Linked DNA regions of Drosophila melanogaster. The protein of the gene in region 4 interacts with the protein of the main gene of each other region in a pairwise test. Each region holds a gene or a part of one and is shown on either strand. Other genes may lie near its edges. The genes, in order: Mst87F, hale, CG17376 and dsx.

Region 1 (3,188 bases), 5.9 Mb from region 4:
ATTGATCGGCAAGAAAACGAGCTGCAGCATTCTTCAACTTTGATTTAGACATCTAAATAATATTTAAGTTAACATCAGAGTACTATGTATGTATGTACATATATCCGACTTTCAGAACTGCGCCTTACTTTTCCTTTTTAGCGATCAGCTGCCACTTTTTAGGGGGCGGCACGTGCTTTCTTCACTTTCGTCGGCTTCTCGGGTTACCTGAATCCGCCGTTTACCCTTTCGGTCGCTCCTCACCTTTGGCCCCATTGACGGCCACGCCCCTAAAGTCATTATGGCGCACACTTAGGGATAGGCGGATATTGATTTCCCTGGGCTGACTGGCAGTACTCAGCGCTTTCCAGCCGATGATGATGACATCTGCGTGTGCCCATTGTGTTTCACTTTTCATCAAACTTATATTAATAAGTTGATGCGAGGGGCCATAATTAAAGCGAATTCGATATTTCCGGCCGGAGGAAAGACATTTGGTTCACTGAACCCAATAAAAATCCTTGAACTCCCGTCGCCAGACGAAATACAAAATATTTGTATACATATGTATTGCCAATAATCTATTTCAAACAAAGGCCAGCCACAAATATGAACGAAAAAACTAAGTTAGAGCAGCGTCTGCTGCCCTTTTGGCGGCACCCTCACAAAATTATTGACCAGAGTTCCATCCATCTCGAGTTTGAAAAAAAAAAACCAGAGAGCCACAGAGAGAAAAATTCAATGAAAGTCATTTAACCACATTTAGGTGGTAAGAAAATAATTATTTAAAATCTGCTACCGCTTTCCGATTCGATTGAGACGCGCTTCGTCACTAAGTTCGCTACTAGATTTATGTAACTAAGTTTGATTCACTTTATATTAGACACTTTGTAATATAAGCTAGATTTGTATTTAATATATCTTACTCTACTCTTGTTCACATTTCTTTGAGACGCCTTTCGTCACTACGCTATATATTTTTTCTATGATAGTGATTTTTCACCGTGCCGAAACAGAACGACTTTGAGTTGGACTTGTCCGTCTCCTCGGATGCGAGATTCTACCCAAATATTTCTGCTAGAAGGGAGAGGACTTCTGTGCGGTTTGACGACGGGGTTTTTGCTTCGGTTTCTGCCTCTGCTGATCGACACACACACAAATACATACATACATTCTAATCAACATGCGGCAAAACATATAATTCGAATTTTTGATATTTCGCCCGACCATTTTGCGAAGAAAATTGCATTTAAACGCCTATTATGCGCTTTTTATTTGCAACCCATACTTTTCTGCCCGAATGCTCCGGCTGACTCAGTCATGCACAAATACAAATCATTGTATAATCATTGTGTATAACACTAGGGTTCCATTTTGGAGGCTGGCGAGCTCTGTCAACTGGTCCACTAGGCTTCCTGCTTTTCGGGAGTTAATTAAATCCGAAATCGTAAAATCGTTAGCAAATGAAATAAATTGCGCTCAATTACACCGAGTGACATCCAAGGCGCAATCGCTGGTGATTGACCTCTTTCAATGCGACGACATTCTTGGCTCGATTCGGCTGGGGAAAAAAACCAAGAAAAAACAAAATAAAAAACATAAGCAACACAAGTCTTCGGTCAGATAATGAACTTAATATACACTTGCATATATAGTATACCCGTTCAGCCCCGATACCCGGATTCTCGGCAATCGGCAATCGGCTATGCGCCATGCACTTAATCAAAAAGTACGACAAAATCAAGAGTAAACAAAAGTGCAGCGCAGAACTCGACTTGAGAACCGGCAGCGATTCGAACTTCAGCCGGGTGCAATGAACACATGATCCGACAAAACAAAAATTTAAATCTCATTTACCTCGTTTATATGTTACAGTGCACTGGAAAAATAGTGGCAACTTGATGCGTTCCTACCAAGTTGGATGATAACTACATAGGTAGGATCGAAATATAAAGGTTAATTCACATGAAGATTGAGCATTTCCCTACTTACAATACAATCATTATAAGCTTTAGCCAATGCTTTAAACAAAATATTTTATATAGTATCCTTTGCCTCTTCAGTCCGACTTGTCAAACCGATATACCTGTGCGTAACCAGATTTTGTATCATTATTATTTGTCCTTTCGGCCTGAACACATCAAAATTTGTCGTCTAGTCTCAAATTATTTCTTTTTGTTCGGTTCAAAGTGAGTGAAAATAAGTGAAAATTTACAAAAATGAAAATGTGTAAAAAATTCCTATGGCATATCATTTAAACGTACCTTTTCTCCCTTCAGAACTTTTACGAATTAATCATGTGCTGCGGACCCTGTGGACCCTGCTGCGGACCTTGCTGCGGACCCTGCTGTGGTCCATGCGGACCATGCGGAGGAGGATGTGGACCCTGCTATGGACCGAATGTCTGCGGACCATGCTATGCCTGTGGACCCTGTGGCGGCTGCTATTGTGGATACCCTTGCTGCTAGACAGTTGCAACTGGCCATGTCCAAGAAGGGTTCACCAGAACACCAAGACGATAGGATAGAACCTATCCCTATTTCATCCTCGTATTCATCTAATATTCGTGAACCACAAATATAGGTATTTGAGACAATAAATATGAGGTGTAAGCTTCAAGAAGGTTTGGTTTTTGATTAGTGATAATAGTCAAATGCAATTTGCTTAGCCAAATATCTGATTTTAGAACACAGATACAGATGTTTAGACGCAAATGCGACCTGAATTAGAATCGATCCGCAGTCTTCTAATGCGATGTGGTCGACCTTGACGTTTCGCCGAGAGTTTATTGTCCTTTCAATAGAACACGCTAAATAAAACTTATTTAAGCAGGTACATACATATTTAACCCGCACACAGTCATGCATGTTCTTGTGTTTTTGTTTTTATTTTTATTTTTATTTTACTTTTGTGTATATTTACTGCACTAATTCTGCGACGAACTAGTTTCGGCACAGCGGATTCCGATTCCTGAATTCCGAGCGGTATTAAACGACGGCGAAGCGCAAAAAGTCAACAAAGTGCATATAAAAAATATATTTAAATTTACCCGAATGCCGCCGTCTCCAGTCGCCGATCCGATCCCCCTGGAGATGACCGCCCCCCCCCCCCCACCCCTTTTTGGCCATATTTCTGGCCAACTCCAGCCAATCCGAAACCATCATCAGCTGACTGGATCTACGCGCGCGCCTTTTTAATTGCATCGTTTT
Region 2 (3,629 bases), on a different chromosome or scaffold from region 4:
CGAGTCGCATACCACGGCAGTTGAGCTGCAGCAAAGATTTCTCCTTCCGCCACCTCCGTATTGCCAATCCAGCAGCAGGACCTGCACCCAAGTTAGTCCCTCTGCCCGGAAAGTGAGGCGTTGTCGCACAAGGATTTCTGAGCTGGGAACGGATCCGTATCCTTGCCAAATAAGAACTCCCTTGCCGCCAGCTTCGCTGATCTTGCCCGGCCACCGGAATTTGCAATCCCAACCCCTTGAGCCCAGAAACGACCATTTCGGAATAAACTCGGTCATGTCCAACTACGTGGCTAGCTTTATGAACATGCAGGCTGATCGATAATTACTTTTAATTACAGTTCATTGTTTAACGAACATTACTTGTGATATAAGTCCTAGCTGCTGTAGAAATTGTGAAAGAATTCATTTTTTATGTATCATAAAATATTTATAAATAGGGTTTAAATATTACAAACTAATAAACGAAAAAAAAACCTTAAAAGTGACTCTCTCTTCATATTGCAAGAATAAATATTCTTATTATTGAATTCAATTAAGAAATAGTGGCAAGCTGCTTGCTTAAAAGTCTTGGAATTTTATTACACTTTCTTCTTTTACAGTGTAGGAGTGGCTCTTAGTCCCCTTCCCTAGCGACCATCTCTTGGAGGAGCTCGCACCAAGCCGGGATGCCAGAAGCAGTTGGAGCAGTTGCAGCGCGGACAATGCCAGCAGTTTCCGCACTTCATGCACACATTTCCGGTCGCATGTTGGGTGGGCGAGGAGCAGGGGGATGGACCTGGTACGGATCCGCCACTGTCCCAGAGATCCTTGTTCCGGAGACACGAACGACTGCGCTTCGGGCTGGCCGAACGAGCTCTTGGCAGCCCGGCGGCGGAGGCAGATGTGGCTGTTGGGGATGATGACGAGGATGGTGGTTGTGGTGGTGCAGCTGGAGGAGCACAAGGAGCTGCCGGCGGGCAATGAGGCTCTCTCTTCGCCGAACTGGAATCTGGCTGATCTAGAAACCTAACCGTGGGCGCATACAGCTGGAAAGCCAGAGGCTGGGGGATCTGCAGGTCACAACAGGACCTCTCCCGTTCCTTGCGCAATTCGGCCAGCAGGCGATTGAAGGACAGGTCGTACTGCACCAATTGCTGCAACGGCAGCTGCGAGTCCTGTGCGGGATTCGTCAGCAGCTGCTGATGCGTCAAGTGCTGCGGTTGGGCCAGCGGCACCAGGTTCCACGATGGCGGAACTGGAATCAGGCTGCACAAGTAAACGGGCTGATTTAAGCCACCATGGGAACTGGGTGGTGCCAGGCAAAAGATCTGCGGCATCGCTGGGGCTCCTTGAGCCAACGATGATTCCTGTCGATAGCATCTTGATGGATTTGGCTGCGAATCATATCCAGCGCATGGTCCACCGGCTGAACAACACTGGCCATGAAAGCTGCAAGGAGAGGCCTGGATGGGATTGGGCATCGGAGTTGGATATGGATTGGCACTAGGACTGGCACTTGGACCGGCTGTACCTGGCTGGCCAAATCTGTCCAAGCCACCATTGAACTGGGTACAGCTCGAGCAGATCATGTGATTTTTGTATTCATCCAAATTGAAAGAATTCGGCAGTGGCACATTGCAGTCAATGCTGGAGAGGAAGGGAGTAGAAATCGAATCACTTTTCATGGAAATTCATGTATAAATTACCTCAGACCCTCTGGACACTCGGTGACCAGGCACATGCCCAGTCGCGGTGGTTCCACCTCGGACTTGGAGGGCACATCGTTGGTCGACAGTGGAGCGTAGGACATGGTGAACTGATGCTGTGAATTTCCCTGCGACTGCAGGCCGCCACCGTTTCCATTGGCGATCAGCTTGCCCGACGAGGTTGCATTGCATCCGTGCTCACAGCTCTCCGTGCAGAACATCTTCAACTCTTCACCACCCGGAGAGGCCAACTCACGGATATGACAATTTTGTGTACATGTTAAAGCACAAAAGGTGTAGAAATGTTTGACATCATAAAGCTGAGACATACTGATTGATACCAGACTTGCTTCTCTAGTATATAATTTGAATTATTTTAAGAAATAAATACTGTTTCAAGTTTTTAAATAATTTTATCTTATTAATATTAATATGGTTCTAAAATCTTAAACACCAAGAACGTTTTGGTCACTACTTACACAGTAAGGGAAATCCAGTTTCGATGAGCATTTCAAAGTTGACAGTACATTTGTCGCCTGATATACTTTTTGATATGCGTTAGGAAACATCAACTCACAACACCCGGAAAACACATCAAAATTCAGGAAAATGGAGGCCCCAGGCGAGAATGAATCATCAGGGCAATTGGCCAAATCAAATGACGAAACGGTGGCCAAATGCTGTTTCATGATTACCGTGGGCACTGATGGTCTCATCGAAATTAGCTCACTTAATCAGGAATGCAAGAATCCCCAAAGCGGAGCAGACAGTAGTAACTCCCCACTGACGAATGGCACTAAGGAAACCAAGAAAGAGTGCATAGCTGTGCTCAAAGGGAATTCAAATGACATCGATGATGACTCAACTGAAAAGCTGGAGAAGAGCAAGAATGACAAGTCCATAGAGGAGATCAAGAAAACCGAAACTTTGCCGCCTTTCGTTAAGATCTGCAACAAGGATCTGGCGAATAGACCTTCGTTCGTGGTTCTCGAGGATGCTTTGGCTAGGAATCGGATTCAACAGGACATAGAACAGTCGAAGGAAGACCAAACCGGCAAGTGTCAGACGCAGCAGACCTCGCGTTCCTACGCCATTTCTAATGCAGGATCCCAGACGGACAAAGCCTTTCCGCAGTATCCAACCACCAGCAATAGCAACCAGAAAGGTTATATTATTCATTTTAGATTGCTTCTATATTTATGTTCCTTCCTCCCTCTTTATTCCCCAGGTAACACTGTACAAGCCGCTCGGAAGTTATCCCTTCAAACTGCAGCCCAGGTCCGACAAAAACTTTTAAAATTAAATCGGGAGCAACAGCAACAACAGCGACAACCGTCGCTGAATGAGCAGCATCAACAGCAAATGTCCTTGCTGCAACATCAGAACATGCAGCAGAATGTGCTGCAGCAGCAGCAGCAACATATGCAGCAGCATTTGACGCTGCAGCAACACCCGAACGTGCGAGTTCAACCGACCAACAACTCGCCATATGTGACCATCAGTTTTATGCACATGAATCAGCCGGGGACGGCAACATCGGGTTGTCCTGTCATGTATCCTGGCCAGCAGTTCCTGTGCGCCACGCCGAGCAGCATGTCCAGCTGCTCCTGCTGCACGTGCAGCAATTGCTGTCCGTCGAGGACGAGTCAAGTCTGCCCAATGCAGATGGGCAATCAGTATCAATGTCCAGCCAACGGAAGCAACTGCTGCATGTTGAAGCCGGAGAGTTTTGCAAACGGCTGCTACAACGGTGGTACATCCTGCTGTCCTTTGTCGAGCATGGAATCACATCCTTCTATGGGATTAGGTGGTCAGATCAGCCAGCACATGATGCACCCAGTTCTCGGAACCTCCACTTGTGCGCTGCAGCAGCAGCCGAATATTCCGATTTCTGGAGGATTTTATCCCTGTTGCTCGTGCCAATCCTTGTGCAACCAGTGTTCC
Region 3 (3,364 bases), on a different chromosome or scaffold from region 4:
TCATTCCTCATTCGATACCAAACTCTCGGACCTTTCGTTTCGGCCAGCTTCTAAATTTTCCAAATTCCAAATTTTTCTTCCAAATTAATTTGACCAAATAGAGTAAGTTTATCCCGGGAAGACCATAGTATATTTTTAAATCCTTTGTCCTGTAGCGCTCGACGGGCTCAAGATGTGTGACGGATGTGGATCGTTGGAGGTGAGTAACCATATGCAACACACCACTGACCACTTGTGACCACTATGTATGCATCCTTTCCAGCCGCGCGGATGCCGCAGTCGGGAGTTACGATGCGGCATCATGTACACCACTTGCGACTGCGTGAAGCGGAACGGTCTGCAGGACAAGTGCCCGCGGTCCGCCTGCCAGGGCCGACCGGCCTGCCTGTGCTTCCCCTTCCCCACCTGCGGTCCGGCGGCATTCCCGCTGCGCTACGCTAACATGATGATGGGCGTGAACAATAAGCGTATGCGCTGTGCCGCCACTGGAGCACCAAATGGCGGTGCCGGATGCGGTGGACGCGTTGCCGGCGGCTGCTGTGGATGCGGTCCCTGCTGCTGTAATGTATCGCCCTGCTGTGGCCCGCACAGTCCTCCATGCTGTGGCTCGCACAGTCTTCCATGCTGTGGCCCGCACAGTCCTCCATGCGGAGCTCCGTCGCCCATTCCTTGCTCCTCTGCTCCGGGCATGTGCTGCCCTCCGCTGCCTGAAGGCGGCATTCCCGATCCGCGTGTCTGGAACTACTATAACGCACCTGTGACGTACCCATGTAAGTCCGGTCCAGGTCCGTCCACCTGTCCGCCTGTCTGTCCGTCTGCTTGTCCATCTGTCACGGCGCTGGGCGTCCGTAGAACGTAAAAACCATGGAGCGGAGGAGCACGAGGCATGCCCAAGGACTTTGCAGGTCACAGCATCTGGAACATGTGCTTGTGGTGACGCTTCATGTCCTTTTGCAGGAGCTTTATGCCCACTACGCTGATCCGTCAACAATGATAGCATGTCCTGGGCTTTGTGAGCGTAGAGGTAGGATCCATGGACCAAATGCTGTTGCCAGGCCCCAAATCCTTCATGACCCTTTGACCTCCATCCGCATCCTGTCGCGTGTAAGTAACTGCGATACCTTCTGCATTCACTGGTTTTACCTTTCTCATCCCACAGGTGGCTTATAAGTATTTCCTGGCAAGTGTTTCGATCGGATCCTGATATGGGCCACTTCCTTGGCGGGACATGTTGTCGTTTTGTGACGTAGTTTTGGTTGATAAAAAATTGAAGTTGGCTTAAATCAAGATTTAGCCAGCTGCGGAATACCCATTACTAGAAGGGCTCGAAGCTATTTGGGAACCCATGTGCAATTCGTCAGACGGTCTTGATTTAAACACAAAATCATATGTTGGTATCTGGAATCTATTTGGCATTAAATTACAAATAAACAAATTGAAATTATATTCTGTGTATTATGGGGGGTGTTAAAGGTTGCGTTTATTTTATGGCTGCACTTATGCTTCGAATATTTATATTTTAAGCCTGGCATTAGAATTGTAAATTAAGGTTGAAACCTTATGCCAAGGCCATAAAAATTTACGTTCATATGTCCCACAGATATTCTGATATTTATATTAATTAATATCAATTTTATTAGGGTGGGTTTCCGTGGCATTTAAGATTTAATTAATTAAAAGTTGAACTTTGCTGATAGTACTTTGTTTTAAACCCATTTTTTCGAGCTGGGAGAGCCATGTTCCAATCTTAGTGAGTTAGTTGACCTAAACAATTCGCGGGTCAAATATTTTGTTTTAGTGAATAAGGCAAATATAGATATATAATTATGTAGATCTGTGGCGATTTCATAATCTTTGCTAAGTCGAAGTAGGCCATGAAATTTCATAAAGTTGGCCATGACTTTTAAGCCAACCCGAACCGAAACTTGAACTGGATGTGCTGGGCCAAGGGAACAGCTAACCTCATTCGATATCTGACTCTCGGACCAGTCGCTTCGACTTCTAAATTTTTTTCTAAATTCCAAATTTACTTTTTCGATAATAACTCAACCAAAAAAGTGAGTGTTAAGTATTTGTTCAAAAAGTATAACATCTTAACTTTTCGCCCGCAGCGTTAGACAAACTCAACATGTGCAACGGATGTGGATGCTGTGGACCCTGTAATGAAACACCCTGCTGTGGCCCCCACAGTCCGCCATGCGGAGCCCCGTCTCCCATCCCGTGCTCTCCTGCTCCGGGCATGTGCTGTCCCCCTCTGCCCGAGGGCGGCATTCCCGATCCCCGTGTCTGGAACTACTACAACACGCCCCCAACTTATCCATGTAAGTCCGCTTCCGAGCTAAATGCTCCCACTCCACCATACGAACCCACAAATTCTGTCCGTCCGTCCGTTTTCGAACCTTGAGAGGCACGGGAAGGCAATGGATTGTGTGTGCCACAGCAGCGGAGAGTCTGGTCCTTGCGATCAGTGTGACTATTCGTCCTTCTCCCAAAGCTCCTTGCCCCAGGCGTTACCTTGTTAACAAGGATAACGCGCCTTGCGTGTGGTGTGCTCCGTGCAAAGCCCACTGCTACAACACTCCGCCAAAATGCTGTTGCTAGGTTTAGCCACCGACTCTGGTCCTAATCCTTTCCACTCCACACATTTGTAAGTAAATGTTTTAGTACATGTACCTCTTATTCTAATTTTCTCCCTCAGGTGGCTTCTAAGCGGCTCTGTTACTACGGACGACCCATATAAGCGGCGGAACTGAGAACCGTTGGACCATGTTGTGTAACACGTTTTGGTTAGCAACTCGATCGGATGCATCTATCACCAATATGCAGATTTTTAGGCTTTAAATATTAATAAATATAAGAAATCGAACCACTCCTTTTTAATTAGCGAGGGAATGTAACGGGTTTTGGCTGGAAACTCGTTCGGATGCACCTTTTTTCGGATGCAGATTTCTAGGCTTCAAAGTTTAAGAAATAAAAAAAAAGGATACAACTCTTACCCCAGATGGGACTCGAACCCACAATCCCCGGCTTAGGAGGCCGATGCCTTATCCATTAGGCCACTGGGGCATGTGGTTTATTCTATCACTATGCTTATATAAACTAAAGGGCGACGAAAACTAGAAATTATATCGGTCGGTTAAATTTTTTGATCCAAAAATATATATTGTGGATTTCTATATTTCTTCAATAGGCTCGAATGAAGAACTTTTAGTAACAATTTAAACAAATTTTATTGGGTACAACAACTACTGTACAGACAGGACTTTCTTCTCTACGCCCATAAAGTGGTCAAGGCTTCTTCAGTTGTCGTCTCATTCGTTGTTATACGATTTGGATCGTGAATATATAATCCAACGAGCAAAAT
Region 4 (4,736 bases):
TAATTGATTTATGAGATTGCAAATGCAGATGCCCCCAGCCAAGCTCTTTCGACACTCCGCCATAAAAAGGGCTAAAATTTGTGCGATCCAAGGTACAAGAAATGGTGCAAGAAATGCGCCTTTAAAGCTATGTGAATTTTATCGTTCTACAATCGGCACGGGATCAATTGGTGAAGATGTAAATCGGATTTGGATGAAAAATGTATCCCCTTGCCTATGCAATATATACAGTTTCATGCAAATCAATGACAAAGCCTTCCGCTCTCACTTTCGTAAACATTTTTTAAATAATATGTTGTAGTACCCTAGTATGCAATTATATTAAGTTTTCACATTACCTCGATGATATTGATAGTTAATATAATAAGTAAGTAATTTTCTTTAAATTCAATTTTTGTATGAGCAAGTCAAAATAATTACATAAATTCATTAAATTTAAGTCACTTTATCACTTCATTTATTTAAATATTAAATTAATAACTTTTGTCTCTGAAACACTAAACGAGAATCAAAAACGGTTAATTAATGAGTATTATCTTAATGTTTTCTGATCGCTGAGCCATTCATTCCCCTACAATTTGGTCACCAATGGGAAACTACTGAAGTACCGAAGGCCCTTTCGAAATCGATTCACTGCCCAAAAATCGAACTCTCGACCATTTTTGGTTACCTTTTTGGGAGTTGCGTGCATCGCCTGAGGGAAGTATCTTTTAATGGAGCCGAGCTTCGGCAAAATTATCTCCGCCGTACTGTATAAACGATCCTGACTAATATAACGGCTGACGATGAAAGGGGACCTTTCAATGTGATAAATGCGAGTGCGACACACGCAAATCGCTGCGTCTAAAGGTGGCATAAATACGCGGCGCAGGCCGAAACCCAGCTGAGTGGTTCGACCTATATCGTCGGCTAGACGCCCAAACCCGATTCGATGCTCCCCATATCTGGCGCTTCTTCTTCTCGCGCCACGCGGAAAGAGAACGGAAGAGAGAGAGAGAGCGACCAGAGTGCAAATTTACGATCGGCACATGCAGGCGGGAGACGTCAATGTACGGCAACAAAGTTGCTCCACTCGAGCTTCTCGCAGAGATTCGCAAAAAAACACGCGAACTTCAAGAGAGAATCGCTCAGAGAGGAAGAGCACGTCTTCGATGTTTTATGCTCCCCATTAATGGGGCAAATGCACTTTACACTCTCGCAGACCCGTTTCTCTCCGTAACTCTCTGTTGCCCAAGATGCTTTCGTTTGAGTTCTTCACATACCAACGTTGCTTCGAGCTTATGAGTTTGCTAAAAATCGTGGGAACCGATGAAAGAAATGCCCTTCTATCGTATAAATGTTTCTGTTTAAAAACTATTTACTTAGTATTTAAAATAATTGACCGTTTTTCGTATTTCACATATTAAATAGCAACACAGAAGTAATGAATATTTTAAAACATTTTCCGTTCAAATACATAATTTTTTAAAATACATTTTATTTGGCTGATATTAGCGGAAATTAGCCCTTAAAAGTATGCAACGCAGGTAAGGAGAATTAAGTATCCGCAGTGCGGAACCTATATTTTTCGCGGCGAATTTAGCTCATATTACATACGATTTAATAGTTTGCAATACTTTTTTATAGTTCATAGTTCATATTGTAAGAATTGTGTTTAAATTATGTTATTTTTAGCATGGTTTACTTATGGAAAAGAGCATAGTTAAGGGTTTACAATGAAAACGGTCAAATAAGGGTATCCATATCTGGTACCAAACCAATTTGCTTTCTCCCAGTTGATGTGCAGTGCATCCAGCAGTCGAGCAGGTTGGATGCTCGCACTCGTTTCTTTTTTCGCGGTGCAGCAACCAGAGTGCAAATACAAATAGCAAGAGCGTTGCGTCGCCAGTCGGTGGGCCCGTCTCTGTGCCAGAAACACATGCTCAGTTTTAGGTCCGCCCGTCCGCCTGAATGTCCGTGTATCTGTCCGCTGTCTTTTGGTCTGCTAGTCGGACTGGTACTGGTCCGAGTGTTAGTATCGTGCACGGGGAGCTTTAGCTTTGTGGCCGCAACCAGTTTGCTGGCATCGATCGTCCTTTGCAGGTCGTGCATGTCGCGTTGGCGTCTCGCGCCGTCCGCGTTCCGTGCTCGAAATCACAATCTCAAGCTGAAGTGAAAAGAACTGGAGCGGATTCGGTACAAAATTCTGTGCGATAGTTTTTAGTTGCTGTGCGAGGTCCGAAAATATCTCTAAAATGCGTTGACCTACAGGGAACCAGATCGAGCCGCGAGTGCCATGCTAAACAAAGTCGTTTGCGGCTACAGCTTGTACGGTTTAAGATAACAAATAAAAGAAATAAATTTTTACCGGCTTCACACTCTCACTCTCGGTCCACGAAGCACTCCTGACCGTCTCGTACCCAGCCGATCGGACTCCCCGTATCTCATCGAGTTCGCCGAGTGCTAGTGCTATATTCTCTCACTTTGCTTGCATAACCAAGAGCAAAGCACACCTCGCGGAGGCAGATCGCAGATGCAGATACAGATACATATACTGCTAGTGGTCTAGTAGTGGACCTGGAGATACTCTAGCGAGTGCATGCAATTGGCATTGTACCTGGTAAGTGAACGATGAGTTACGAGCGCTCTGCGGCCAAAATGTGCCACCACTCCGCTCCGTTTTGCCACCTTTTTGCCCGGCATTTGGGGGCGTTGCAAACTGCCTTGTAATTGCCTGACATAAATGCTCGTGTGTACAAGGCTTAATGGCGATAGCAGCAGGTACGCTCAGCGATTGCCATCTACAACTGGCGGTATGACTGCTGAATGGGGGGGAGCCAGGGGTTCAGGCTATTGTCTGACTTCCAAATTAAACAGGAAACGAGCAACAGGTCGCGTTTTACAGCCACACTATGAGACTCCCGCATTAGTTTCTAAGATTGGGATAGCGTAGGCCATTGCCATTGTCGTTTGCGATCGGCTATCCTAGATGACTGCATACATATAAGGCAAATTGGACCAAGGTCTAAGTGGTTATGAGGAAAATGCAAATGACAAATACGGAAACCAACTGGCTTAAAACGATAAACACGTGCTGAATATTTTTATTCAAATTAAAGTTGAAGCGAAGGCGTTTCTTGTTAATTTTAAAGCTTACCATCGATTATTCACGAGTGCTGCAATTATAAAAAATATATGTAAATTAGAACTTAAATTTTTGCCAATGCTCATTGTGTATAGCGCGAAAGGACAGTTTACCTTTAATATTTTGTGTTATCTTGGGGATAATTATTCATTTCTTTTGGCTATTATTCTTGTCATTTGTAGTCGAAATAACATAGTTAGCCTTGCTAAGTTAAAACTCATATTTTAGTGGGCGTAAGAGATCATTAGTAGAAACTGCAGCTTGCTTTCACTCACGAAATCTCGACTTTCATGAAGACGGATGACGCAAATGGCAAGATCGAGTACACCTGTCTGTAGTCTTAAAAAAAAAGGTATAAGAACCTAGCATGCCGTTTGACTCCTCAGCAAACATGCAGACTTTTTACTCATAGATTTATATTAAGTAAGTTATTAAACCATATTAGCAAGACGAATATTTTAGTATAATATAAATCTGAGCTTGGTACATTTTCCCAAGAATATATACAAATATAAAATACCTGTAAATGCATTTTTCTTAGTGCACAGTTATAATGATCTGTACTCAACTTTTTAAGCTGCACCCCACTTGCAATTATCATATAATCGACTTAAGGTGCTTTTGCCATTTATAACGCCGAGCTGTCCTTGGCCCATTAATAACCTGAAGTGGGTTCTTATCGTGATCTCTTCCGCTTTAGACAAATTAATTGAGCATACATGCGCAAGCTGCACATTTTTTATGCTCGCCCGTAATCAATTTAATCCGCTTTTCCTTTGGCAACTTTGACCACTGTTTCCCTGCTTATATTTGTCATTATTTCCACCAAACACAAATATTGAAAACTGATAGCCAGCAGGGTCTTTCTCTTAAAGTGGCTCTTCGGAGGAATTATTTCTCTGCGGGTCTCTCAGCTCATACAAATTAGAGGCGACATGCAAGATAAGCAATCTTGTGCAGTTTTTAAACACACAGGCAAAATAACAACATTTTGCCGTGGCCAGCGGGAGGCGGTGGAAGAAGGGGGCGGGTATCTGGTGCTAGCACGAATGTGAGACCCGTTATCAGCACATCGTTCATGCTCAATTTACCCTCCATTTAAATACAGGGTATTAACTCTTTAGACTCCGAAATTAAGTCATTACAGCAAACGAAAATTGAGACAGACAAACGCTCACACTACATGTCACCTAGCTAATAGATTAAAATTCTCATCGATACTGGCTTTCGTCTATGTCACATATATTTCTCCCTATCTTTCGTTCATTAGGTTCTAATCAATCGTCAAACATTTTGAGTGTGAATCTGTGTGCATAGGCAAGTTCAATGAGTCACCATAATGTCAAACTAAGTGCAAATTAGATTAAACACGAATCAAACACGCCAGCAGGTGTGGAGAAAGTGGACAAGAAGTGTAGAAGAATCTTATATTCCCTATCTATATAATATAGAAATATTAACCACATTCTTCCCATGTATACTTTTTACTTATATTACTTATATTATTTGGTTTTTTTATTATTGATATGTAATTGATTGATGTAAAGCTTTTTTTATTTTTGTGCTTTAGAGGGCCATTTATCGATTTACGAGTATCAACATATTTATAGGC

The links.
Region 1: the proteins of dsx (region 4) and Mst87F interact in binary tests that used the Drosophila melanogaster proteins (3 or more experiments, as listed by UniProt).
Region 2: the proteins of dsx (region 4) and hale interact in a two-hybrid assay, tested with the Drosophila melanogaster proteins (2 studies listed by BioGRID).
Region 3: the proteins of dsx (region 4) and CG17376 interact in a two-hybrid assay, tested with the Drosophila melanogaster proteins (2 studies listed by BioGRID).

The regions. Positions count from the first base shown.
Region 1 is NT_033777.3:13,826,559-13,829,746, reverse strand, and holds Mst87F (Male-specific RNA 87F), read left to right. Parts: upstream 1-1,738; 5' UTR 1,739-1,915; intron 1,916-2,060; exon of another isoform or gene 2,061-2,168; intron 2,169-2,258; 5' UTR 2,259-2,276; coding exon 2,277-2,447; 3' UTR 2,448-2,596; downstream 2,597-3,188.
Region 2 is NT_037436.4:19,983,870-19,987,498, forward strand, and holds hale (hale-bopp), read right to left. Parts: upstream 2,000-3,629; 5' UTR 1,907-1,999; coding exon 1,686-1,906; intron 1,627-1,685; coding exon 627-1,626; 3' UTR 557-626; downstream 1-556. Other genes in the region: CG17732 (uncharacterized protein), read left to right, coding at 1-322; schuy (schumacher-levy), read left to right, coding at 2,295-2,850, 2,914-3,629.
Region 3 is NT_033779.5:6,799,446-6,802,809, reverse strand, and holds CG17376 (uncharacterized protein), read left to right. Parts: upstream 1-1,975; 5' UTR 1,976-2,057; intron 2,058-2,111; 5' UTR 2,112-2,128; coding exon 2,129-2,404; 3' UTR 2,405-2,494; coding exon of another isoform or gene 2,495-2,601; 3' UTR 2,602-2,647; intron 2,648-2,698; coding exon of another isoform or gene 2,699-2,709; 3' UTR 2,710-2,864; downstream 2,865-3,364. Other genes in the region: CG17377 (uncharacterized protein), read left to right, coding at 173-199, 263-859; CG43610 (uncharacterized protein), read right to left, coding at 3,272-3,364.
Region 4 is NT_033777.3:7,964,326-7,969,061, reverse strand, and holds the start of dsx (doublesex), read left to right. Parts: upstream 1-1,653; 5' UTR 1,654-2,599; intron 2,600-4,736. UniProt on the Drosophila melanogaster protein: Controls somatic sexual differentiation. Binds directly and specifically to the FBE (fat body enhancer) of the yolk protein 1 and 2 genes (Yp1 and Yp2).